Linked DNA regions of Caenorhabditis elegans. The protein of the gene in region 2 purifies or fractionates together with the protein of the main gene of each other region. This does not show direct contact. Each region holds a gene or a part of one and is shown on either strand. Other genes may lie near its edges.

Region 1 (8,899 bases), on a different chromosome or scaffold from region 2:
AAAAACGATAAGGAATGTTTCGAGACCACGTTGTTCCGTTCAAATTCATTTTTCGTTTCACACGAAAGCCGTTTTGAGCTACTTTATTCATTTGTGAAACCGTTAAAGCCTGAAAAAAAATTATTCAGCATTTTTTAAACCTTCTAAACTAACCATATCACTTTCAAACATAACTGCAGCAATTTTGCTATTTGCAGCCATTTCATTGTTGTAAATCCCACTGGACGGGATTACAGTGTTTATATCCTGCATAGGAAATTTTATAAAAATATTTCAAAAAATGACTCACATATTGAGATCCTGATTTTCGATTAAAATAAGAACTCATAATCTGGATAACTTTATCATAACTTTCTCCGGGGCGCTGGAACGCAGCTGTATTCTGGTTCACACTATTGACAACCTGAATTCTAACGTATTTGCATATTTTTTCTATTAAACTAACCTTGTCTATATCCTGACTAAACATAACTTGCGGCTGATCTTGTTGTGGTTCCGGCTCAGGCGGAGGAGGCGGTGGCGGGAGACCCTTAAACCTTTGATGAAAATTTGTAGTTTTAGGCTGGTTACCCATGGAGGTCTTCTATGCCATGGAGGTCTTCGCCAAGGTGGCGGTGGTCGATCCCATGGAGGTGGGGGTCCGAATGGCGGAGGACCTCGGTTTCTAAAACTTTGTTTTAATATGAAAACCTTGGCATTCTACACGTGCGAAAACGTGCTTTTACAAAGTTCTATTTATATATTCTTGGATTAGCATGCTGATTTTTTCAAATTCAGTTATGTTTGCAATTCTTCTGGAATCAAAGTGAAATCTCACCGATGCCAAGGTGGAGGCGGTCCCCAAGGCCGAAGAGGTCCTGGAAAAAACCAATCTGTAAACCGGAACGTATTTCATTATTTTTATACTTCCGTTTTTATCAAATTCCAGGCAAAATTTTTCAATTTTCAGATAAAAAAATAAGTAAGTGTCAGCTGATGGCGATAATTTTTCAAGGAATTCTTACCTGGAGGAGGAGGCCGTTCAAAAAAATCAGGTTGCGTCAGACAAGTAACAAACTGTGATATCAGTATGCTTACAAATAACATTTTGCTCTCGGCGGCAAGTATATGCCAAGTTTAATCAAAATGAAAGACCAAGTAAAAAAATTTACAGCATGAACTAGTTCAGGGTTTAATCGGTAATAACAACACAAATTTGGTACGCGGGAAGACCTGTAAGGTGTTTGCATCGTTTTGTCTCATTCGGCCAATCAAATATAAAGGTCGTAGAAGTTTTAATTGGGGGAATCTTTGAGAGTGAAAAGAAGATGAAATTACGCGTGGCCTCAAAAAGTTTTTTTTTGATGGCAAGATGATTGGTGAACACAAACATTTGACTATCAGTGGATGTTACTTTGAAATATTATAAAAACTCAGCAAATGGCAATTTTCAAGATCATACCATGCAGAAGATCAAGACAGAAATCTGGGGATGAATCAGACAAAGTCGCCGAATTGATCCAAATTATGTTTCGCTGAACTTCAACTATTTTTTCTTGTGTTCTTAATCAGGGTTCCCAGAAAAATGATGGTCTAGACTCACGTACTAAGTTTATAGCATTCAAGTTTTGCATGTGTATTGTAGAAATAGACTTCTAACGTTTTAATGATAGACTACAAAAAAGGGTGGAAAATCTGGATATGGGTACTGTGTTAATAATCAACGTATTATTATTACTGTAGCTTTTGTCAATTCTACACTTTGCCTATCTACACATTGTATCTACACATCTACACATTGCAATTGCTTGCAAACGCCTTTTCATAAAACTGAAACGCAATTTTTTGTTAAAATTAAAAAAATTCTTAGGAAATATAGCAAATTCCTTGAAAGGTAAACACGTATTACTTGAAAATATTTCATTAATTGACACCAAACATTACATATGGATTATTGTCGTCAGTGGAAATTTTGTCCGAAAATTTTTATTGCAATCCAGATCATCATAAAACAGTCTAAATTTTCAAAGTTTTTTTTGAAAAAAAAATCATTAAACGTATGTTATCAAGTTTATACATAGTTTAGGCTCCTTGATAAATTAAGAGTAGTGTCGCTGTACAATGTTCCAGTACAAGTGTATAAGATTTAATTAGAATATTATTTTTTTAAATTTCTATTATTTTTCAAATCGACTACCAATTTTATGTGAGCAAAGCTGATTAATCACAACTTTTTGGCTGCAAATGAAAATACTTCAAAATTTATTTATTTAACATTATAGAAGTGGTTCCATACATTTTAACTACATTCGCTACTCACCATTTATGGTGCCTTGTTTTAAAAACACTCATTAACCCGTTTTCATATGTATTTTCAGCGTCTCGTTATGTTTACTGTGTGTTATAATTAACAATTCAATTTTTTGAATGGTGTTGTAAGATTTTAAAGATTTTGAACAAGAAAACAGAATAACCTTCCCCTAAATCATTTTTCATCATAAATCACGCCGACATGATATTCAGTCGGCTCATATCACCATTTTACACCCTTTTCAACTTTGTGCCTTTCTTGTCATGCTTTTCTCTTTACCCTCCACTCAATTTTTCTTTTTCTCTTCAGAAACAGTACATCTTAATAGGTGATAACATTGAATTACAGACAACCCGCATCAAAACTTGGTCTCCAACAGTGACACGTACTCTCATTCCTTTGCTCGCCTTCTGCGCTATCCGATTAGTGGAGCATGTAATGTACGAAAACGCTTACAAGAGGTGGTGGAAAAAGAAAGTGGAAATGATAAAATTTATGAGTGAAATATTTAAGCGAGTAGGAGAAGCACTATTAAGAACAGTGCGGTTCAACTTGATAAAGAGACGCAGCAAGAAATTGGTGAGGACACAGTCATCGAGCCAACGCACCTATTGCCCACCTCCATACTCCTCCTTCTTCTTCATTTCTTGCCTCAAATACCGCGACAGGCTCATTCCTCGTCAGTATCGCCACTATGGGCTACTCGGAGAGTCGCTCGGAGAGCGTTAGCTCGAAAGGTAACTGATTCATCATATAAAAGTTCAATAAAGCATAATACATTTATTAAGACGGTTAAGCCTGAATATTATACCACCCATGTAGTTTAATTTTTAAGATATTGTAACATTACACAGTATTTGAATGTTTTAATAGTTTGTTCAATTGTATTTCTCTCGAAATATGATTCGCATGTGGTCAATCATCCAGTCGCAGATTTTAAAGATCCACTTTCCAGTTAAGGCTGGGGTACCCCTCACGTTTTATACTCGTGACCCCTAGTTGCTAGCGACTACCATTAACAACTGGGCTCCTGTTGAAAACTGTAATCCAATAATTTTGTATTACTTATGAGTAACAAGAACCCTCAACTAATAAATCTAATATTAATGCAGATTTTGCAACACACTGTACGGAACAAAATAACTTACCTCCAGCATACCGAAACATCATTTCCAGATTGTTTTATTGTTTTGTAAAATACAATTCTTCTTAACAGCCGCTAAAACTAGTGATAATGGCATTTATCTAAAATTAGATGGATTATAACTAATCTTGCCGCGTGGGAAATTTTATCTATCAAAAAAAAAGGCGACAAGAGTAAATTTCAGAGTTTTTGATCGAAAATCGACAGAACGAGTTTTTCAGGCAAAACATCATACGGCCATGAACTCGAAACAGTACCACTACCGGAAAAGAAAATCTACACAACATGGCCTGATATGATCAGGCATTGGCCTAAAACAACACTGTGCATCGTGTCCAACGAATTCTGCGAACGATTCTCATACTATGGAATGAGAAGTGAGTTGCTTTATTTGTTAGGGTAAAAGTGTAAAGGATATAATAGATCCTTTAAACAGCCTTAAACATTTCTGATGTATCAATAATCTACAAAAAATATTTTTATTTGTACATATATTTTTAGTTTAGTTTAAGAGGTAAGGTGAAGAAAAAGTAGAGTTAAACCTTATTTTGATTTTCGGCCGGTGGGTGGACATTTTCAGATAAGGGTATTATCAACATTTACTTTAAGTACATGGTACTCAAAAAGTGAATTTCCTATCTACATGCCAGTATATTTAAAAATCGAAAGTTTTGACACATGAAATGCAAATAAGACATTTTTTCACCGATATCACTAAAAGGTCATAATCCGGTTATTACCATAATGATTATGACGTTGGCAGTACAGAAGATCAATTGAAACGTGACACGAAAAATTTGCAGCGGTCTTGACATTCTACCTGCTTAACGTACTAAAGTTCACCGACTCACAATCTACGATCTTCTTCAATGGATTTACTGTGCTTTGCTATACCACACCACTTCTCGGATCAATTGTTGCGGACGGATACATTGGAAAATTCTGGTATGTAATAATTGTTGTTTTGCACTCAATAACGACTTTTCAGGACAATCTTCTCTGTCTCAATTCTATACGCAATCGGACAAGTCGTGCTCGCTCTCGCTTCTACTAAGAATTTTCAATCTTCAGTTCACCCGTAAGTGATGCTTGTTCCAGTATTCGACGCATAAACTTATCATGCAACTTTTCCGTCTTTACGAATTCCTCTCGATTGAAACAAGGCATGATGATAAGAACTTCAACCGTGGCAACTTTTGCCCGACAGTGCACGCGCCACATTAAACATTAAAAAACTGAAACCGAACAAAATTAAAAAGGGTTCACAAGAAATAAACTGCTGAATTTTCAGATGGATGGATCTGTCTGGATTACTGATCATTGCGTTCGGTACCGGAGGAATCAAGCCATGTGTGTCTGCATTCGGAGGAGATCAATTCGAGTTAGGACAAGAAAGAATGCTCTCACTCTTCTTTTCCATGTTCTACTTTTCCATCAACGCAGGATCTATGATCTCTACTTTCATCTCTCCCATCTTCAGATGTAAACTTGACAATTCTTAAAACACTATTAGAGTACAATAATTTCAGCTCAACCATGCCTTGGACAAGATTCCTGCTACCCAATGGCTTTTGGTATTCCGGCTATTCTTATGATTGTTGCAACACGTGAGATAAAATATTCAAAAATCACATTGACTATTAAACTCTTACAGTGGTATTTATGGGAGGTTCATTTTGGTACAAGAAGAACCCACCAAAGGACAACGTGTTCGGAGAAGTATCTCGTCTTATGTTTGTAAGTTTTTGTTTTGTTTTATTTCTAAACTGCTTTGAAACCAAGATTAAATATTCAGAGAGCTGTTGGAAACAAAATGAAGTCAGGATCCACACCAAAGGAACACTGGCTCCTTCACTACCTTACTACTCACGACTGTGCTCTTGATGCAAAATGCCTCGAACTCCAAGCTGAGAAAAGAAACAAGAATCTGTGCCAAAAGAAAAAATTCATCGATGATGTCCGTTCCCTACTCCGTGTTCTTGTCATGTTCTTGCCAGTACCAATGTTCTGGGCACTTTACGATCAGCAAGGATCTGTCTGGCTCATTCAAGGTTTGTAAAGTTCTAGATAACAATTTAAAAATGATCAAATTGGGGAGTCAGCTGCAGAATTCCTTGTGGTGCACCCACTGGGTTTTAGCTTAAGCTACAATCAAGCCGGGGGGCTAAGTCAGCCGTTGATTAATCTAATTCCCAGCGTTGGCTTAGTGAACCTAGGAGTGCAATTTTGTGATTGCTAGCGACCACCACTACCGACTGAGACATCCCCGCTCTTCACATGTTAAAAATGTGTTTTTTCAGCTATTCAAATGGATTGTCGTCTTTCTGACACCCTTCTCCTTCTTCCGGATCAAATGCAGACATTGAACGCCGTGCTTATTCTTCTCTTTATCCCACTCTTTCAGGTCATCATCTACCCAGTCGCTGCCAAGTGTGTCCGACTTACGTGAGTTTTCATTGAAATAAAATTATTTGTGTATAATGAATTATTATATTTTAGACCTTTGAGAAAAATGGTCACTGGAGGGCTTCTCGCGTCACTTGCCTTTTTGATCACTGGATTTGTTCAACTTCAAGTCAATGTAATTTCAAATAAAATTGTTCCATAATTTATTAATTCTTTACAGACTACTCTTCCAACTCTCCCGGAAGAAGGAGAAGCATCAATTAGTTTCTGGAACCAGTTTGAAACTGATTGCACCATTACCGTTATGTCTGGAATTCACAAGAGAGTTCTTCCCCATGACAAGGTTTGAGATTCGAATTTGATTCTTTTCACTTTTAACTTTCTCCTCCTAAGTTCTAAACGAAAGATCATGCCATTTTAAGTGCTGATAAGAAAAAAGGAAGTCAGAAAAAGTTATCGTAAAATTATTTAATTTATTGCCTTTGTCATGAATTACTATACGTATTTACACAACAACGTTTCAGTATCTTCACGAAGATAAAAAGAACAAGTCTGGAATTTATAATCTTTTTACAACAAAATCCCCCGCAAAAGGTAATGGCGATTGGACTCTCACATATGACCTCAGCTATGACGGCGCTTGCGGAGATACATCAAAATTGGAGAAAACTGTTAAAGTGACTGCCAAGAGCAAGAAGATCATCTACGTTGGAGTCGGATCATTTGGATATTACCAAAACACAGCTAACACTGATAAGCCAACTGATGGAACTGGAGAATTCTCTATGGGGTAGGGGTGTTCATAACACGGAACAATGGTTAAATAATATATAAATTCCAGAATTGTCACTGTATTCAATTCTTCATACGGAGGAAACTTTGCCATGTGCCGTCAAAATACAAGCGACTTTGATGTTAACCATCCATGTAATCCAAGACATCCTGCTGACTTTTACTTCTGGGAAACCGATTATAATAGTCATACCGATGACAGAGATCAAAACGCTACAATTACTGGATCTCTTAGTTCCCAACCGGCTGTAACTTACAAGCAGAAATCTGTAAAGCCAGGATATTGGCAGTTGTACTACCTTTTGAATACACCAAAAGATGTAGACCGGCAGACTTACAACAAAACAGCAACACTCGTTGCTCCAACAAATTACGGTTTTCACAGAGTTAAGCAGGGAGGTGTGTTCATCTATGCATTGACCGGAACATACGAAAATCCAAAGATCCACGAGCTTCAAATTGTACAGTCCAATAGTGTGTCGATTCTTTGGCAGATTCCACAAATCGTTGTCATCACGGCAGCAGAAATTTTGTTCTCAATTACCGGATACGAATTTGCATATTCTCAGGTAATGTTAATAGTTAAAATTTATAATTTATAATGCTATTCTAACTGTAAATATTACAGTCTGCCCCATCAATGAAAGCTCTGGTACAAGCCCTCTGGCTCTTGACCACTGCTGCTGGAGATTCCATCATTGTAGTCATCACAATCCTTAACTTATTTGAAAATATGGCCGTCGAATTCTTTGTCTATGCTGCTGCGATGTTTGTAGTTATTGCCATCTTTGCTCTTCTCTCCATTTTCTATTATACTTACAATTATTATACAACTGATGAAGAGGACGGTGAAATTGGAGTTGATGATGAGGAAGAAATTGAGGATCACAATCCACGATATTCAATTGATAACAAAGGTTTCCATCCGGACGAAAAAGATACTTTCGATATGCATTTTTAATTAAATCCTAATATGTATAAATTTTCAATTTTGTTTTCCTAAACCTACTACTGTTGCTTTCCCTTATTGTGACATCGTGATAAAATTCGTTTTCACTTGAAAAAATAAATATTTCTAAAAACTTTGTTCATGTCCACTCTCACAACAACAGCCGAACTGCATCTTGATTCTGTCGTTTTGCGACCAAACACATTTCTTATTCCATTGCAAAAGTCTCTGAACTCAAAAATAGGAGCCAAATTTGAAAGTTGGCATGCGACGACCGGATGAGTATATCCGGTCTAAAGCTTTGTAAGCTAGTGGAGGACGGACAATAGCTTGTTGCCGGGGGCTCTCTCATTATCTGCTTTTTTTTGGATTTGCTCACGACACACTGGGCGACTAAATATGACGGATGAATTAACATCACCTTCTCTCAAATCTGGAAATGTTCTGGCTCTACTTAACACACTTTACACTTCCGGATTTGCAATGGCGTCCTCCAGCACTCCATTGCTCAAAGGTTTGACTCTTGGGCAAATAATTTTTTGTCATTTTAATTTTTTCACTTATAGGCAGAGTAGCAAGTTTTATTATCACGGTAATAGTCTTCAAACATTTTAATTAATCAATTAAATTTGATGAATTAAAACATTTCAGGGCGTTTTAAAATTTCGAAAAATTATGGCCGAGTTTAGCTAAATTTCACAATTCCTTGTATAAAAAAAATGCCTACTGAATAACCTGCAGATGCAAAAACGTGTCACCTGCTACATAAATGACGGTTCGACAAAATTTAAACTTTTCGCTTCTTACATCTTTCATTTTTTAAACAGTCTGAAAGTTTTTCATAAAGTTTTAGTATGAATTAGTCTATTCAGGCTATACAAAGTGTTTTGCTATTCCATCTTTAAGCTAATACAAAATAAACTAGAAAAGTCATTGTTCCAAGCAATAATACTATACAATGGATTTTATTCTTGATGACATATAATTATCACCTAAAACTTATTATCTATTTCTTTCAGGAAAAACTTTGCACACCCTATATGCTGTTTCGTTTGTCGTCTACGTCACCAACTCTATTTGCTCTTGGCTTCACATCAGTTTCGTGGTTAAGGTGATAATGATAATAAAGATCAATGTAAAAACCGAAATTTTAACTTCAGGGATACGTGACTTCTTTTCCACTGAATACATGGCTAGTGGTTTCTTTGGTTGTTACCGCAGTATGTGGATCAATGTGCACATGGTTGCTACTAGTAGGCGAAATTTTTCCATTTCAAAATCAAGAAACATTTTTTTTTAGGTACTTTGTATTGAGAAT
Region 2 (6,000 bases):
TGCAGTCCGCGATGAGTCGTCAGAATCCGAGTCGGATTTCGACGACGATATGATAGAAGAAGACGAGGAGGATATGAGCGAAGAGCGCAACGATCAGGTATATGTAAGTAGTTTAGAAAGAACGCATTTTCTTATTTTGTTAATTGATTTAGAAATTGTTTTAGGACAAACGAACCATTTCCTCGGGCTCATCGAAGCAGAATGAGGAGTATATTCATCCAAGGAAGTATCATCATCATCACAGGAGATAGATTTAAATCGATTTTTTAGTGGAAGAATCATCAAATTTTGGGGTTTTTTTCGGACGGGTTTTTTTTTGATTTTTGGATTTATTATTTCCATTTTTCCGATTTTTTTTTGAGTTTTTGAGTATTAAAATAGCTCACCTCAATATTCCGGGAGTACTAAATTCTGAGAATGCGTATTACACAACATATTTGACGCGCAAAATATCTCGTAGCGAAAACTTTGGTGTCGATTTACGGCAGGGAGTGGGCGGCAAACGACTTTTTCCGGCAAATCGGCAAATTGCCGGAATTGAAAATTTCTGGCAAATCGGCAATTTGGCATTTTGCCGGAATTAAAATTTGCCGGCAAATCGGCAATTTGGCATTTTGCTGGAATTAAAATTTTCCGGCAAATTGCCAATTATGTGTATTATTTTTGTACTCTTTTCTAATGACACGATTCATATGGAATCGTATTGAAATAAATAAATAAATCGGCAAATTGCCGGAGTTTAAAACTTCTGGCAAATCGACGAATTGGCAAGTTGCCGGATTTGAAAATTTCTGACGAAACGGCAAATTGCCGGAATTGGAAATTTCCGGCAAATCGACAAATTGCCGGAATTGAAAATTTCTGCCAAAACGGCAAACTGCCGGAATAGGAAAATTCCGGCAAATCGACAAATTGGCAAGTTGCCGGAATTGAAAATTTCTGGCGAAACGGCAAATTGCTGGAATTCGAAATTTCCGGCAAATCGGCAAACTGGCGGAATTGGAATTTTCCGGCAAAACGGCAAATTGCCGGAATTGAAAATTTCCGGCAATTTGTCGATTTGCCGAATTTGCAGAGAAAAAAAAGTTCGAATTATGACAGTGTTTTCTTTTAATATTTTGTCGATTAAAAAATGATTTCCGTAAATCGACACCAGCGCTACAGTATTAATTAAAAAAATTACTGTAGTTTTCGCTACGAGATATTTTTCGCGTCAGATATGTTGCGCAGTACGCATTCTCAGAATTTTGGGTTCCCACAAGCTTTTCTTCATTTTTAATTCACATTTTCTTCTCTCTCTCTCTCTCTTGCATTCAAAACTTTGATCTTAATATTTTTAAAATTTACTCACTTTCTACTGTTTTTATTTTCATAACAACACAATAAAATTCAATGTTTCATTAAAAATTGTAATTATTATCAAGGTCTGAAAGAATCTTTAAAAAATATTTGAACTGCTTGAAAAATGTCTCCTGCTAATTTTGGTGCAAACCTGTGAGATGTCGGCTGCTACTTGTCATTAGTAACTCTACAGTTTTTTACATCGTTTTCAAAAAATTCAATATAAATTATTTATCACTGTTCAATTCAAACTAAGATGGTTTTTTGATTTGAGCAAACTTCCATGTAAAAATAAACACGTGTTCGAGAAACCAAATCGACAAAATTGTGAATATAAGTTTGGACTTATTGAACGCAAAATACTCGCAAGCTTCTCCAAACCACGATTTTTTATCATCAAGAAGATGAACACTTTGAATTTCTGGATCTCGAATTTTGACTCGTCTCACTGGTTTTTCCATTCTCCTTTTCACCCGGAAACTTTCCAGAACTTGAATGGAAAAACTCGGATCTTCTTGGAGAATTAACTGAAACTTTTTCCAAGAGTGGCGGGTTATCCAATTTTTATCATATTCATCTGTTCTCGAGAAATCGTCAAGTAAGACGAGAAGGCGATACATTCGAAAGCGGCATGCGAGAAGGAGGAATTCAGTGAAGTAGAATCCTGGAAAATCAATTGGAAAATTTACAATTTAATGTATTATTAGAAACAGGAATGGGTGGCAAAGGCAACTGCAAGTTCGGCAATTTTTTAGTCGGCAAATTCGGCAAATCGGCAAATTGCCGGTTTGTCGATTTGCCGGAAATTTCCAACTCCGGCAAATTGTCGATTTGCCGGCAATGCGAGTTCCGTCAATTTGCCGATATGCCCTTTGCCTGATATCTATTTGCCGGAAATTTTTAGAGGGATTTTTTATAAGACGGCAACACTTTTAGATATTTTCATAGAATTTGCTTACTTTCCAAAATAGATGTAGGAACATTCATAGGATGCGTACAATTTTGCCGATTTAAATTGAAATTCTGAAATTTCCAAAAAAAAACTGTGCAAAACCACAATTTGCCGAAAGTATTCGGCACTTGCCGTTTTTCCGGCAAATCGGCAATTTGCCGGAAAATTTCCATTCAGGCATTTTGCCAATTTGTCAATTTGCTGGTGATCTCTATTCCGGCAATTTGCCAATTTGCCGGAGAGCTCAATTCAGGCAATTGTCAATTTCAGCAATTTGCCGTTTTTCCGATTTGCCGGAGTTTTCTATTCCGGCAATTTGCCGGAGATCCCAATTACGACTATTTGCCGAATTTGCCTGAGATCTAAATTTGCTGATTTGCCAAAGATCTCAATTCCGACAAAAATCGTTTGCCTCGGCGGAGCTGGTAAATGCATTTAAAAAAAAAATCATATTAGGCAGCAAACGATTTTTTTTTTAATAAAAATTTCCGGCAAATCGGCAAACCGGCAATTTGCTTCAAACTCTAATTTTTTTCATACTCTAATATTTCAACAATTTTTGAAGATCAAACTGAGAGGTGATACACAAAATACACGCCTACAAGAATGCTTAAAAATTTTTTTTTTGTTTTTAAATCTATATATTCTTCCACCAAAATTTCTCAACCTTATGCACTTTGTTCTTATTCAATTTTTGCACACATCTTGCTAACAACTATCTGCAAACGCCTCCAATCTAAAAAATACCTAATCCCTTTTTATTATTTAAGAGTTAAGCTTAATCTTGTTAGTCCAATTGTAACTTACGTGATATCCGCTTATGCGGAGGGTTCAGAACCCGTAACATCTCGAGAAACACCTCTGGATCCACATCGAGCAAGGTGATCTCAATGCCGGAGGAGCTGTCGCGGAGCTTGTTGAACACTTCCGAGTTTGAGACAATTGTCTGGAAGAGGTTTTACAGCTAGTGTCAGTAGATGAGTTGTTACCTCCATACAGAGAAATATCTTCTGATTGGCAACGTTCACAATTAAACCATCCTCGTTTTCAGATTCTTTATCGGCTGGACCAATGTACTCTTCACCGTATAACTTCGTTACCTTGAATGTGACCTCTATTGAAGTCCAGTCTAGATACTCAATATCATAAGTATCCTCGCATTTTTCTTCAAATGGAAATGGCTCTGATCTCTCGTAATAGCTAAAATGCTCATCCTTGAACCATATTTTTACGGATGACTGGTATTCGATTTCTGGGGTTTCTTTGAAAAAGGCGGCAATGTGGAATTTTCGATCCTTGATGAAGAAGAACCTGGAAATTTTATGGAGTAGGATTTATTTTTTATTTTTTTATTTTTATTTTATATGAAAAGGGTTTAAAGTATAATACTCACCACAAATAATTAGCAACATAGGCATGTTGTGGATTTGTATCCGGTGTCATGACGAGGCTCTTCTCACTCGTAGCATCTTCCCCAACACGATACACATCACTCATCTATAGTGAATGAGCTTAAAAGAAATGAGGTTAGGAACAACGCACGGATTATATATTGCAGGTTGCTATTAGCGACAAATAACCCGAAGAGGAGATGCGAGAACGATGGGCGGTTGATTATTGTCAAGGGACAATGGGAGAGAGGAAATGTATATTATTTGTTTTTGAGAAGAATAGATATTAGAAGTTTGGTTTTGGTGATTTCTAAGCGAGCACTATACATTTGGGATTTTCCACTATATAGATTAAAATCAAACGATCAGAATTCTTGGATACATAGAAAGGGTGGGCTGCAATTGACGATTTGCCGGACATTTTTAATTCCGGCAAATTGTCGATATGCCGATTTGTCGGAAACTTTCAATTACGGCAAATTGCCGGTTGCCGAATTTGCCGGAAAATTTCACTTCCGGCAATTTTGTCAATTTACCGATTTACCGGAAACTTTCAATTCCGGCAAATTGCCAATTTCCAGGAAATTTTCATTTTGGGAAATTTGCCGGTTTGCCAATTTGCCGATATTTTCATAGATTTCACTGATTTTTCAAGATAGATGTATAGGTACAATTTTGTAGTTTAAAATTAAAATTCCGAAATTTCCAGAAAAATGGGCAAACCCACAAAAGAAACGGCAATTTGGTATGGAAAACTTTAATTTTAAAGGATTAAAGGATTAAAGGACGATCCGTTCTTCAAGTGCTATGCACTGCGGATCTGGGATTCAGGTACACTGCCTGGTGGTGATCCCTCTGGGCTGTAATTTTTTGCAATTTTTAAATTTCGAATTTGGAATTACATTTTTTGAGAAACAGTGAGCCAACGTTAGGAAAAAACTGGGAAATATATGATTTGACGGCAAAAAATAACAAAACGTTTTGCTGTTGAAAATAAAAGTTTGTTTTGCTTTACATTTTTTGCTTTTCACCATTTTTCTAACTCCCCAGAAATAGGGCTTCCATGTAGGTGCCTACCTGCCTGCCTGCCTGCCTGCCGGAACATAAGTATTACTAGTATGTATGCTTGTATTTGGAGCATTTTGTGCTCCAGCAAAACTGAAGGACAAAGTTGGAGAACATGCGCTGACGTGGACAATAGTGGAAGCTAGTCAAACACCGTGAGTTTTGTAGCGGCCGACACCTGATGGGACACCTCTTGGGTAAAAGACCGCTGCTTCCTTCTTTTCCTCCTAAGATAGCGGCCGACATTTACGGGGTAATGAGTAGGGCCTGTGTACAAGATCCTTGATTATACACGACCCGGCAAGTGGTACATCCATTCAAATGCGCTCTACTGATAATTTGAGTGTAGACTAGGTTTGGGCGCGTGATAACAAAAAAAAAGCATTGGTCCCAAAATTTTAGAATTTATTTTCGGCCATTTTTTATATGCATCACAAAAAACTGGATTAACCGTTTTTGAGATAGACGCGCCCAAACGTTCAGGTATACGGTAGACAAACTAAAAGAAGGCAAAAACGCGTACGGCTTGCCGGGCCGTGTTATACTTTAGTTTTCATTTTTTATAATTTTCAGGCATATCCGGACTCGTCGATACTATGGAGGTTGGGGATTCGCCCGACCATGGGGTTTCGGAGGGTATGGCATACCGACTACCGGATACCCATTCTGGGGATGAAAAGTTGTATCCAAGTTGTAATTTTATGTGGTTGTAGGGTTAGAAATAAAGTTTTTGACGCATTATGTTATTGTAAATAAAAAACATGAAAAAATCTGAAATTCGGAAACTAGCTGTTCAAAAGCATGTGGTGTCAATAGGGCTTCCATAGTAGGCAGGCTCGATTTCAGGGCCTGACGCCTGACTATAAATTAAAAAACAAACAAAAGTTCAAGTTTGTTTTAGCATGAGGCGCAGTTCGAGAGGCAGGCGAAGGTCGCCTTAAAGTCAATCAGGCAGGCGTTTTAAAGTCTTCATGGAACCGGCTAGGTGTCAATGTGAAATGTTTTTGAAACTACACAGCTCTTGGGTCCTCATTTTCCTCTTCATTTTTTTTAAAGCAATGGTCTTTCATTTTTCTCCAGTTATTTTTTCAATTTCAGACACTTAACCTTTTAAAAACAAACAGTCGTTTTTAATTGTCTTGTTTTGAGATGTAAATTTTCCATGTCTAAACATCATTTTTTTCACTTTAAGTTGCCGCAATCAGGAAGTTTTCAGATATGTAATTGCTACATATTTACCCCTCTGATCAG
Region 3 (5,059 bases), on a different chromosome or scaffold from region 2:
TGAATGATGGACAATTGAGTGCTTCGTCGCATGATCGGTCGTGGTGCTGGAAATTGGGAAATTGAAGTAAATTGAAAATGCCAAAAAACAGGAAAATTGATTTTAAAGCTCCGAACTAATTTTTGTTTTAAGTTTTTTAAAGGCGTAGTAGCGAAATTGGAAAAAGAGAAAAAATTGCTTTTTTAGACCCAAACTAACCAAAAAACTGCCAATTTTCGTGATGAGGACCTTTGAAAATTTCTCAAAAAAAATCATGGCGGTTCAAAGTATTGGAAAAAGGCGCATATTATAGCTAAAATCTCAAATTTTGCCAAATTGTCAGTGCCGCCACTGACGGAATTTTTTAACACTTCTAAACTGGCAAAATTTGAGATTTTAGCTGAAAATAGTTATTTTTCAAATACTTTGCACAGCCATAATTTTTTTTGAAAATTTTCAGATATTCTCATTACGAAAATCGGGTTTTCCTCGTTTTTGGTTTAAACAATTTTCATGAATCTCTCCTCCAACTCACTTGATCCTTCTTTATGAAAAGGAATGGATTGGCCAGGAAGGAAGTTCCGTAGATCAGTGCAATCAAGGAGATAACTGTCTGAGCGACGACGTCGGATGGGAGATTGATGAACGGTTGCTCAGTGAGACGCAGGTAGAAACGGTGTTGGGCGGCGGAATAGGCACAATGGAGCAATGAGAGAAGCGAGACGATTGTGATCAGGCTGCAACAGGGGATTTTCTTTTGATATCTATGTCTCTTTTTCTTGTGATTGATGGTTATTTTTTGCTGATTCAAGTGGAACAACTGCCGTGTTCCAGAAACTTTTGGGAGGTCACTCACCGGTAAATAGTACTCGCCATATCGTTGATCGAAGACCAAGAAGCTTTTTGAAGGAGTTTTGAAAAGCCTTATTGAGAAGAGCCTAAATATTGGAGATTATGATAGATTATAATGTAATTCAGACAAAAAAGGTCAAGAAAGATAACAATAGCTGGTAAATAACCAGAAAATAGCCAAAAAAAATTCAAAAAATAAATTGAATATGTACATTTATCAGGAGAGATTGAGAGCCAAATAACAAACAAATAATGGTCTCAGTTCAATGCAAAGAATGTGCAGAAGATTCAGTAATTCTATGAGAATTGAGATTTTTTTGGGGGGACATAAATGAAAATAACGGGAAAAAGTGAATGTTTGAGATTTATATTCAGTATGGCTGACTAGACATCCTCTTCGCATTGGACATGAGTGACGAGATTTGACGATGACTTGATAATCTTTTCCTTGATCATTTTCATTTTCTCATTAGCAACGTTTTTGACTCCAAATCGCTCTTCTAGCTTCTCAAACAACCCTTTCGTTGTGTTATTGATCGATTTTTTGAAGCCCATTAGTAGGACTTTCTCGTAAACTGAGCTCATTCGACCACAATCGATTGAAACTGTGACACTTCGCAGTACGTCAGTGAGAAGGGCTGGGTGATGCTGCTGATTATCCTGAAAAATAACAGTAAATAGAGATTTGAAATAACAATGATAAACCTCGGATGATTTGTAAATGCATCGTTCATGGAGTTGAAATAGAGAAATGTGTGAAACATTTCGAGTGTATGTTACGAGTTTTTTCGATACTTTATCATAAACACTTTCTTCAATGACAGGAACAACTTGAATATCTGTCATTCTCGAAATCCAACGAGGAACACGTTTCAAAATCGAGCTTCCTGAAAAATTATGCGAATAATTTACTGGCTCTTGTAATATCAGCTAAATACCTTGCTTGACAATCAATTTTTTAGTGACAATAGTGTTGTCAGTGATCTGGCGTTCGAGTACATCCTCCGAAATGATGTGTTTTGCATGAGAATTTGGGTATCTGAGGGTTTAGAAATTGAAATTACCATTTTCCGAGATTTCCTGCCTCACCTGTCCCAAAACGCACTGGCAACCTCATCAAATGAATAAGGGAACGAGGTATTCGGAGAATCCCAAAGCTTCATCTTGAAGTTTACTGAAAAACAAGAAAATTTGATGAAATTATTGCAAAAATCGATGAGAAAAGTGTGGAAAACTGTGGAAAAGAAAATAATGAATGCAAATTTCTCGCGTACGCAGGCATCGAAATTCACGACAATTCTGCATACACCAATTGTCAACCGTATTATACTTATTAATTTGCCTTCTGAAAACTTGTTTCGCAATTCTTGAAATGTTTCGATTTTACAATTTTCTGAATATAAAAAGTGAAGTTTAAATGCGAATTATCTGAAAACTCGGAAAAACACAACATTTTATTGATCAAACAACTATGTTATCTTATGAACTCGCCTGTCAGTTGCTGAGCGTGCTGTAAACATCTTTTCTCTTTCAACTTTCCGCTTGTTTCAGATGAAAATAATATGGGTCACACTTCTACTCCTCGTCCCGCAACTTTTCGCAACTCAAGACATTGACGAAGAATTTACACATGAAAATGTGTGGAAAGATCCGAATGATCCAACTTCTGGAGAAAGCCCGCCAGCGTCAAAACGACTTCTATCTGTTCGAAATCAAGTTCAGAAGGTAAACTAAAAGCTTTAAAGAAATCCGTAAATAACCCATTCAATAGTTTCAGCCTGATCAAAGTCTTCGTCTGATTCTTCGACAACTTCTCCACGAAACCAAAATTGACTATCATTTGGAAGGTTCAATTAAAAAAGATGTACAGTGAGTATATTTTCTTCTAGTTCCGATATATTTTAAGCTTTGAATTGCAGAATTAAAATATCTCGGCACAGCATGTCGGTTCTTTCGAAGTATTTAAAAAATGATGAAGCAGATTTGGCTGAAGAGAGAGAAGCCGTCCGATCCGCGTTGTCAAACATTTTCAGCGTGAAGCCTCCAGCTCCAGATCGTACTTGGCAGGATACATTTGTGACTCTCCAACCTTTCATTTTCACACTGAACATCTTCATTTTGCCCGCGGCTGCTTTTGTTGTTCTTCGATCAATCGTTCGGCCACGAAACTTTTGGATTCTCGTTCTCTCAACTGCTCTTCTTGTTTCCATGTATTCTGGTTATAGCAAAAAATATCAAGAAGCAGAATCACGAAGATTTGCACAATTCCAAGAGCATGCTCATGATTCTTGTGCTACAGAAGGATTACTCTCAAGAATGGTTGAAATCCTCGCATCGCCTTTCCAATATCGGCAAAAATCAAAATGTTTAAAGTACATTGAGGTTAGTTTTTGTTTTATTTCTTCTTTGTTGGGTTAAATTATTTTAAATGTTGTAAATTTCAGAGTCAAACCATATCGATTTTCCACGAGATTTCTATCATCGAAGTGTTTTCTGAGACTATTTCCGGAGGATTCTTTGCGTTTTTTTCTGGTTCTGCGAAGCACTTTAATTTATTCTTCAGGTATTTTTTGACGAATTCATAAAAAAAGCTGTAAATTAATTTTTCCAGAAATCTATATGACGGTGCTCCATTGATAGCTCAAATCGTGATGACAATCTTCCTTGTTCTAATGCTTGGAGCTATTCGAACTCCATTCTTTAGTTATGAACCGATTTGTAAGAAATTTTAATTTAATAGTTAAATAACAAAAACTAATATTTTTCAGGGCTCAACTTCTGTAGTTCCAGTATTGGAAAAATCGCGGGTTGGCTGGATGGAGAACCTCCACAGCAGCCAGCTCCCCAACTGCTTATAACAGCAAAAGAGATGAAAAGATTAGAACAGGCAAGAAATAAAAAGTATGATTGCGGTGTTTTTCCTGTTAAATTGTGTGAAATAACGAATATTATTTCAGACCCGAAATGATAAGTTATCCAACATCGGAGCGAGAAGACGTCGTGAGTGGAAGCGAAAATGGGAACGAGAAAAAGAGCGACAACGAGAGAGAGGAGTCGATGAAGATGGAAGAAGACTCAGCTCCGGTGGAATCGTCGCTAGAAGACGATCTGAGCTTACTCGGAGAATCGAGTGAAGATGAGGATGAGGAGAAAGTTAACGGTAATGTTTTGAGCAGGAAATTCAGATGGATTCCAGTTGCCCATAACATAAATTCTGCGAAAAATTCAAATTTAAAAATCATAAATTAACATCTAAAAAACTAGAAAACTAAAATGTTCACCGCTTCGTCCTTTATTGATTTTTGTGTAAAACAATATAAACTTATTAAAAAGCTTTACTTTTAAATTTCAGAATCTCCTGCAAAAATCGACTCAACAACCTTATCAGAATCAAGCTTCTAATGACTCGAAGGTCAACCCAACCCGTTCAATTTGTTATCTCTTTTTTTGTTTGTACAATCAATATTTTTCCCTCTTTTTTGTACATTTTTAGTTCATATCTAGAAATCACTTTTACTAATTTTCCATTCTTTTCCTGTAGATCTTGCCTATTACCTCTTCCTTGAATTACACTTTACTGGTAGTTTTTTTTGTTGCTTTCCTTGTCAATGAATCATCTCCGGTTTCAAAATTAATAGTTCTTTGAACTTGAGATCAAATGTTTACTCATCAAGCTATTTCCGAGACCTTTATGAATCTGATGACGTCTCACGAAGAAGGTTTTCTCAAAAAAATAATAGTCATCATTGTAATCTTTGCTGTTGAATTGCACTGAATTCGTTGAATACATAGACGCAGACAGTAAAAGAAACGAGTCACAGAGATCATTCAAATCAGAACCTTGTTTTATTGACTTCTTTGCTTCCGCTTTTTCATTCAATCAGAACGAAAAAGTTTTACAGATGTCATCCACACGGTTTATAGCTTCTTCTCTTGCCAATGTCACATCACGTGAGTAAATTATTGACTTAAACAATATTTTCTGGAATTTTGCGAAGTCTTGCTAGCATTGCTTCAAAGTTACTGTATCCGGTCTCGACACGACAAATTTCTGCTAAATGCAAAGAGATGTGCGTCTTTAAAGAGTACTGTAGTATTAAAATTTCGTTTCTCCCGAATTTTAAAATTTTCATCAATTTTGCACAGTTCTTCTCAGTTTTCCGATAAAGTTATATTTCTTATTATCGAAAATATTTTAAAAGTAGATAGAAAGTCAGCAGAAATTTTA
Region 4 (4,813 bases), on a different chromosome or scaffold from region 2:
GGCCTAAACATGTGACTATGGTCTAAATTTAATTTTAAAACCACTCTTTTTTTTGGTAATTTTGGATAATTACAAAAACGTTGTCTAATCATTCGAGTAAATCTAAAAAATTTCAAAGTCGTTAATTATCATATTTGGGCATTTCGATTATAATGAGTTATATTGTTTTATAAAATATACAAGTTTCCGTCTTACGATGCACCATCTTTAAAAAATAGTTTTGTTTACATAAACCTATCGACATTAACATTTACATTTTAGTTAAAATAATGTTTTATGATATACAAATTTTTAATAATTTCATTCTAGAATCTAGAATCTAGACTTTTCAAAATAAATACATTAAATTTCATTCCAGACTGAGTTTCGAACAATTCAAAGTATGAAGACTGTCTCTAAAAGAGTACAACATTTTATTCAGTTGTACCAAAGGTACATGTTGCCCATCCCGATTCGTCAGATGTTTGTTACTCCTGTAAGTACATTGTCATGTTGATTGATGTTTTGACTTCAAATTTAGGAAAAGATAAGTTTCACATTAGCAAACTCGAATGAAATCAACACTATCAATCATGATGACATGGATAAATATCTTCGTGGTGCTAAAGTGGATTTACTTTGGCTAGAGATGGTGAGTATAATTAAAGTTTCAAGAAATCAAATATTCAATGTTACTTCTCCAGAATGGAAGTGAAGATGAACCTATTGAATTTCTTCAAAAAGTTATTCAAAAAACAAATTTCACTAGAATTGATTGTTTGAAATTGGGAAGCTCAAAAGTTGAGTGTGACGTCACAAAATTGGAAAATTGCATGGCAAGTTTGGTGTGTGCAGAACTAATTGTTGACTGGAGATTCAGAGTTCCTGAGGATTTTTTCAATGAACTTCATGTTGAGAAGGTTTGTATTGAAAGGAAATTTCAATAGTTTTACCAATTTTATTTTGAAGTTAACTCGATTAACGATTGGAAATCAGGAATCTAGAAACTTCTACCACCCACTTTCGGGAGATCACTTCAGAAAGTTCAGAGGAGATTGGTTGGAAATTGGGCAAAATCGTCTCAGAAGTTCAGATATATCTACCTTCCTAAAAGTATGTTTCTGTGGAATTTGATTAATCACTCCATTTATTCGAATTTCAGAATTGGAAATTGGGCTCCATTTCTTGGATTGAAATGTACAACATTGTCATTAGTTTTCCAATTCCCGAATTATTGATTTTACTGAAAAATGAGAGTTGCCAGAAAACACCAACGACGTGGAAAGTGTCTCGGGATCTAGACGAAGGAAAAGAGGAACTTGAAATTGGATTCTTCAAAAGTACAAACTTCTCGAAACAGCCATCATTGGTTATAAGGCAATTGAAAATTTTAGAATATTTGTGGTGAATTTTGGTATCTTGTTTTGGAATAAGTTTTCATGATAAACAATGTGTATAAAAAAAGTGATCGAAGGCGATTATGATTTCTTTTTTTTTTCTTGCCTCCAACATAACCGCAGCAAGATATGTTCGGAATTTTTTAATGGAATTTTTTATAAGACTTCTTTCTATGATTTGCATCCAAAAAATATGAATTTTGAGCTTCTTCGTCACTTTTGGTATTTCACTGAGCATCAACTCAGAGCGTTGGCGTGTGATACGGAGCCTTTAAAACACATTATCCTTACAACAAATGATCTCTCACTTCCGATATTTGTGTTTTTTAATGGCAAACAAACACATATATTGATAAAGATATTTATTTTCTGAAATGAAATGGAATACATGGTAAAATAATTCTAGTTTAATTTGCATATAACATTATTTATTTTATGGTGAGCGATCACTTTGGGAACGCCTTGGTGTGGACTCCAGTAGCAATCATTGCATTGTCCCTTTTACGATAGAGTTCTGCCTGAAATAAAACACTTTTGTAATCAGAAATATTCAAGAATAAAAAAATATGATACCTTAGTGAATCCAAGAGAGCGCCCCTGTTTGATGACAGTAGAGTTGAGTACAAGAGTTTCTCCGATGTTTGCAGCTGTCAAGTATCTGGAAGTTACGATGATCATAAATATTTTCTCCTGAATTTCTGGCATTATTAGTTTACGAAAATGAACGATTATAAAGCTAAAATATAGGTATGGGGGTACTAGAATGAGCGAAACTTTTCAGTTACCGTACTCGTGAGTACGGTAGATTTCTCTTTTTTGTTGGTTTTGCAATAAATCTGTAGTTTTAAATTAAAGGTTGGAATGGAAAAATTAGAAAACATTAGAAAAAGTTCGTTGGTACCGTAGCTGAGAACATTTCGGTCGTGGTGGGACCCCACACTGAATTTTGGCTTAAATATTGCACTTGTTCGCAAGACTTATATGTTTCAAATCATTGCATAATCTAGGAAACCTCTATTTAGATATAGATACTCACGTAATATGCAAATCCACTGAAACACCAGGCCTCGCTTCCTTTGTGAGTAGAAGAGCACCAGTTGTGAAACAATCGATAAGTGCTGCTGTACATCCACCATGAAGTGTCTCGAATTGATTTGTCTGATCCTTTTCAACTTCGAATTCCACTCGTAGATTTCCTTCCTCCGCATGAACTGCTCTCACATTCCGTGCTCCAGCCGCATAACCGAATTGTCCTTTTGTCCCGAACATTTTGATCACTTCCTTCGCAATTTGCATGTATTTTGATGCCATTTTCAAGCAATCTTAGAAAAAATATATGATTTAAAAATATTTGTTTCAAAACAAAAATCTCATAACCACGTAGACTTGCGTGGATTCTCTTACCATCAAAACATGTACAGAGTACTCGGATTAAAACGAGTATTTATGGAAAATTGGAAAAAAAACAAGAATTCTTTACAATTTTATTGCGGAATAATAGTTTTGTACACAAGGGAAATGTTTTTCAAAACGATCAAATTAGAAATTGTGTCTAGGAATTATGTTTAGGAGGTATTCCAGACACGAAATTTTGCGATTTTTGGGCAGAAATCACGGTAGCCGGTCTCGACACGAAAACTTTTTTTATAACGGGAAAAGGTGTGTGCGCCATTAAAGTTTACTGGAAATTCCAACTCTTGATTTTTTTTCGCGATTTTCTGAAAAAAAAAAGTTTTAATTGATGTATGGGAGTTTTAAAATAAATTAATAAATGTTTTTTTTATCGAAAATTGATGGGAAATTGTTGAAAAATCAATGAAATTTCAACAACAACGAGAGTCTAAAATTACAGTACTCATCAAAGAAGCACACCTTTTTTCATTTAACCAAAACATTTTGTGTCGAGACCGGATACCGTATTTTTGGCGCACGGATCGCAAATTTCCATGTCTTGGAATATATTGATTAGTTTGCTTTCTTCACAGTTGGGAATGCTTTGGTATGTACTCCAGTTGCAATCATTACATTATCACTTTTACGGTAGAGTTCTGCCTGGAAAAAAATAATATTTTTAAAACTTTTCTTAAAGTTTACCTTTGTGAATGCAAGAGTTTTTCCTTGTTTGATGACGGTGGAGTCGAGCACAAGGGTCTCACCAATTTTAGCGGCGGTCAGGTATCTAAAAATCTATCAAATTCGACAATTTTCTTCTCTCTTTACGTACGTAACATGCAAATCAACAGATACTCCTGGCCTAGCTGGTTTTGTGAGAAGAAGAGCCCCAGTAGTGAAAATATCAATGAGCGTAGATGTACATCCACCGTGAAGAGTGTTAAAATGGTTTGACTGATCTTTCTCAACTTCAAATTCCACTCGTAGATTTCCTTCCTCCGCATGAACTGCTCTCACATTTCCTGCTCCGGAAACACATCCGAATTGACCCTTGGTTCCATAATTTTTGATGATTTCCTTCGCCAATTGCATGTATTTTGAAGGCATTTTGATTTAATCTGAAAATGGATTAACATCTTAAAAATTTAGAACAATTTATCCCCCAGACGCGAAATCTTGGGTCCAAAATGCGGCACCAGGTCTCGACACTTACAGTACTCTTTAAAGGCACACCCTCGTTTTTATCTCACAAAAAAAGCGTGGCGAGACCTAATACCTTTTTTTTCTGCCCGAAAATCGAAAATGTTCGCGTATGTGTAATATTTAAATTGGCACTGATAATTCACCAAGCGGATATGTTCAAAACGATAAGAGAAAGTTCTTCATGAATCTTTATGGAACCGAAAATACGAATACAACCCATACTTAGAAACACACGGGTATTTAATAAATAAAGAAAGACCGAATTTCAAAACAAAAAAATTAAGGTGTGAGGGAATACATTGAACAGATTTAATACTATTTGAATTTGCAAATTTCTCCAAATTTTCTTATTTCTTCTTTTTCACCGCCAACTCGGTTCCTTTCATAAATTTCTTGTCGATTCCATACGATTTTATCAGAAGATCAGCGATAAAATGAATTTGATTTCCTTGAACGAGTACTTGAGGACCTTCGACGCCAGGAACTTCCCATTGACTTGTAACACTAGTAGCCACACCAGTCTGAAAATTCAGAAATTAGTATTTAAGGATTAGCCACCAACTACCTGAATTTGATGGCAAATCGTTCGAATGTCAATTCCAAACATCGCTAATCCATTTAAAAGAGTAACTTTTTTGTTTCCAGCACGGTTTTCGATCTTGAATTCAACTCTCGGTGGAGATACTTTTCTGACTATTTCTCTGCCGTCAGGCCATCTTATGTGCCATGTTGCAGTCATTCTTGAATGGATTTCTTTCATCAAATTTGCCCATGGAGTTGTATCCGTTTGGATTTTAGTGACCGAAAAGATAATTGGATCAAGACGAACTGATCCTCCAGCA

What was found.
Region 1: the proteins of C18D11.7 (region 2) and pept-1 fractionate together in Caenorhabditis elegans (co-fractionation; one large-scale study listed by BioGRID). This does not show direct contact.
Region 3: the proteins of C18D11.7 (region 2) and prel-1 fractionate together in Caenorhabditis elegans (co-fractionation; one large-scale study listed by BioGRID). This does not show direct contact.
Region 4: the proteins of C18D11.7 (region 2) and C25H3.14 fractionate together in Caenorhabditis elegans (co-fractionation; one large-scale study listed by BioGRID). This does not show direct contact.

The regions. Positions count from the first base shown.
Region 1 is NC_003284.9:6,454,049-6,462,947, forward strand, and holds pept-1 (Peptide transporter family 1), read left to right. Parts: upstream 1-2,823; 5' UTR 2,824-2,984; coding exon 2,985-3,027; intron 3,028-3,655; coding exon 3,656-3,811; intron 3,812-4,237; coding exon 4,238-4,379; intron 4,380-4,422; coding exon 4,423-4,512; intron 4,513-4,725; coding exon 4,726-4,916; intron 4,917-4,963; coding exon 4,964-5,041; intron 5,042-5,088; coding exon 5,089-5,171; intron 5,172-5,229; coding exon 5,230-5,485; intron 5,486-5,734; coding exon 5,735-5,879; intron 5,880-5,933; coding exon 5,934-6,015; intron 6,016-6,060; coding exon 6,061-6,183; intron 6,184-6,364; coding exon 6,365-6,630; intron 6,631-6,681; coding exon 6,682-7,201; intron 7,202-7,260; coding exon 7,261-7,593; 3' UTR 7,594-7,719; downstream 7,720-8,899. Other genes in the region: Zinc metalloproteinase nas-33, read right to left, coding at 1-109, 154-246, 290-403, 446-529, 571-664, 818-872, 1,005-1,086; K04E7.1 (Serpentine Receptor, class BC (Class B-like)), read left to right, coding at 7,981-8,095, 8,601-8,692, 8,742-8,834, 8,882-8,899. UniProt on the Caenorhabditis elegans protein: Low-affinity peptide transporter that is necessary for proton-dependent uptake of di- or tripeptides, and to a minor extent tetrapeptides, in the intestine. Transport is independent of sodium and chloride ions.
Region 2 is NC_003281.10:11,802,990-11,808,989, forward strand, and holds C18D11.7 (BTB domain-containing protein), read right to left. Parts: upstream 3,807-6,000; 5' UTR 3,791-3,806; coding exon 3,687-3,790; intron 3,605-3,686; coding exon 3,283-3,604; intron 3,240-3,282; coding exon 3,101-3,239; intron 2,006-3,100; coding exon 1,593-2,005; 3' UTR 1,564-1,592; downstream 1-1,563. Other genes in the region: twk-39 (Potassium channel domain-containing protein), read left to right, coding at 6-103, 165-251; C18D11.10 (uncharacterized protein), read left to right, coding at 4,807-4,904, 5,323-5,425.
Region 3 is NC_003280.10:11,492,638-11,497,696, reverse strand, and holds prel-1 (PRELI/MSF1 domain-containing protein), read right to left. Parts: upstream 2,006-5,059; 5' UTR 1,995-2,005; coding exon 1,921-1,994; intron 1,871-1,920; coding exon 1,770-1,870; intron 1,719-1,769; coding exon 1,537-1,718; intron 1,492-1,536; coding exon 1,216-1,491; 3' UTR 1,034-1,215; downstream 1-1,033. Other genes in the region: nuaf-6 (Phytoene synthase), read right to left, coding at 1-32; emc-5 (Membrane magnesium transporter), read right to left, coding at 1-46, 515-716, 836-855; ooc-3 (Chloride channel CLIC-like protein 1), read left to right, coding at 2,383-2,556, 2,603-2,700, 2,751-3,213, 3,276-3,394, 3,443-3,549, 3,600-3,732, 3,789-3,991, 4,184-4,233; hacl-1 (2-hydroxyacyl-CoA lyase), read left to right, coding at 4,734-4,782.
Region 4 is NC_003280.10:5,693,268-5,698,080, reverse strand, and holds C25H3.14 (Acyl-coenzyme A thioesterase 13), read right to left. Parts: upstream 2,699-4,813; 5' UTR 2,688-2,698; coding exon 2,413-2,687; intron 2,035-2,412; coding exon 1,950-2,034; intron 1,895-1,949; coding exon 1,823-1,894; 3' UTR 1,723-1,822; downstream 1-1,722. Other genes in the region: C25H3.10 (F-box domain-containing protein), read left to right, coding at 359-475, 521-631, 684-899, 949-1,092, 1,142-1,387; C25H3.3 (Acyl-coenzyme A thioesterase 13), read right to left, coding at 3,342-3,428, 3,471-3,555, 3,601-3,875; eif-2D (SUI1 domain-containing protein), read right to left, coding at 4,319-4,492, 4,537-4,813.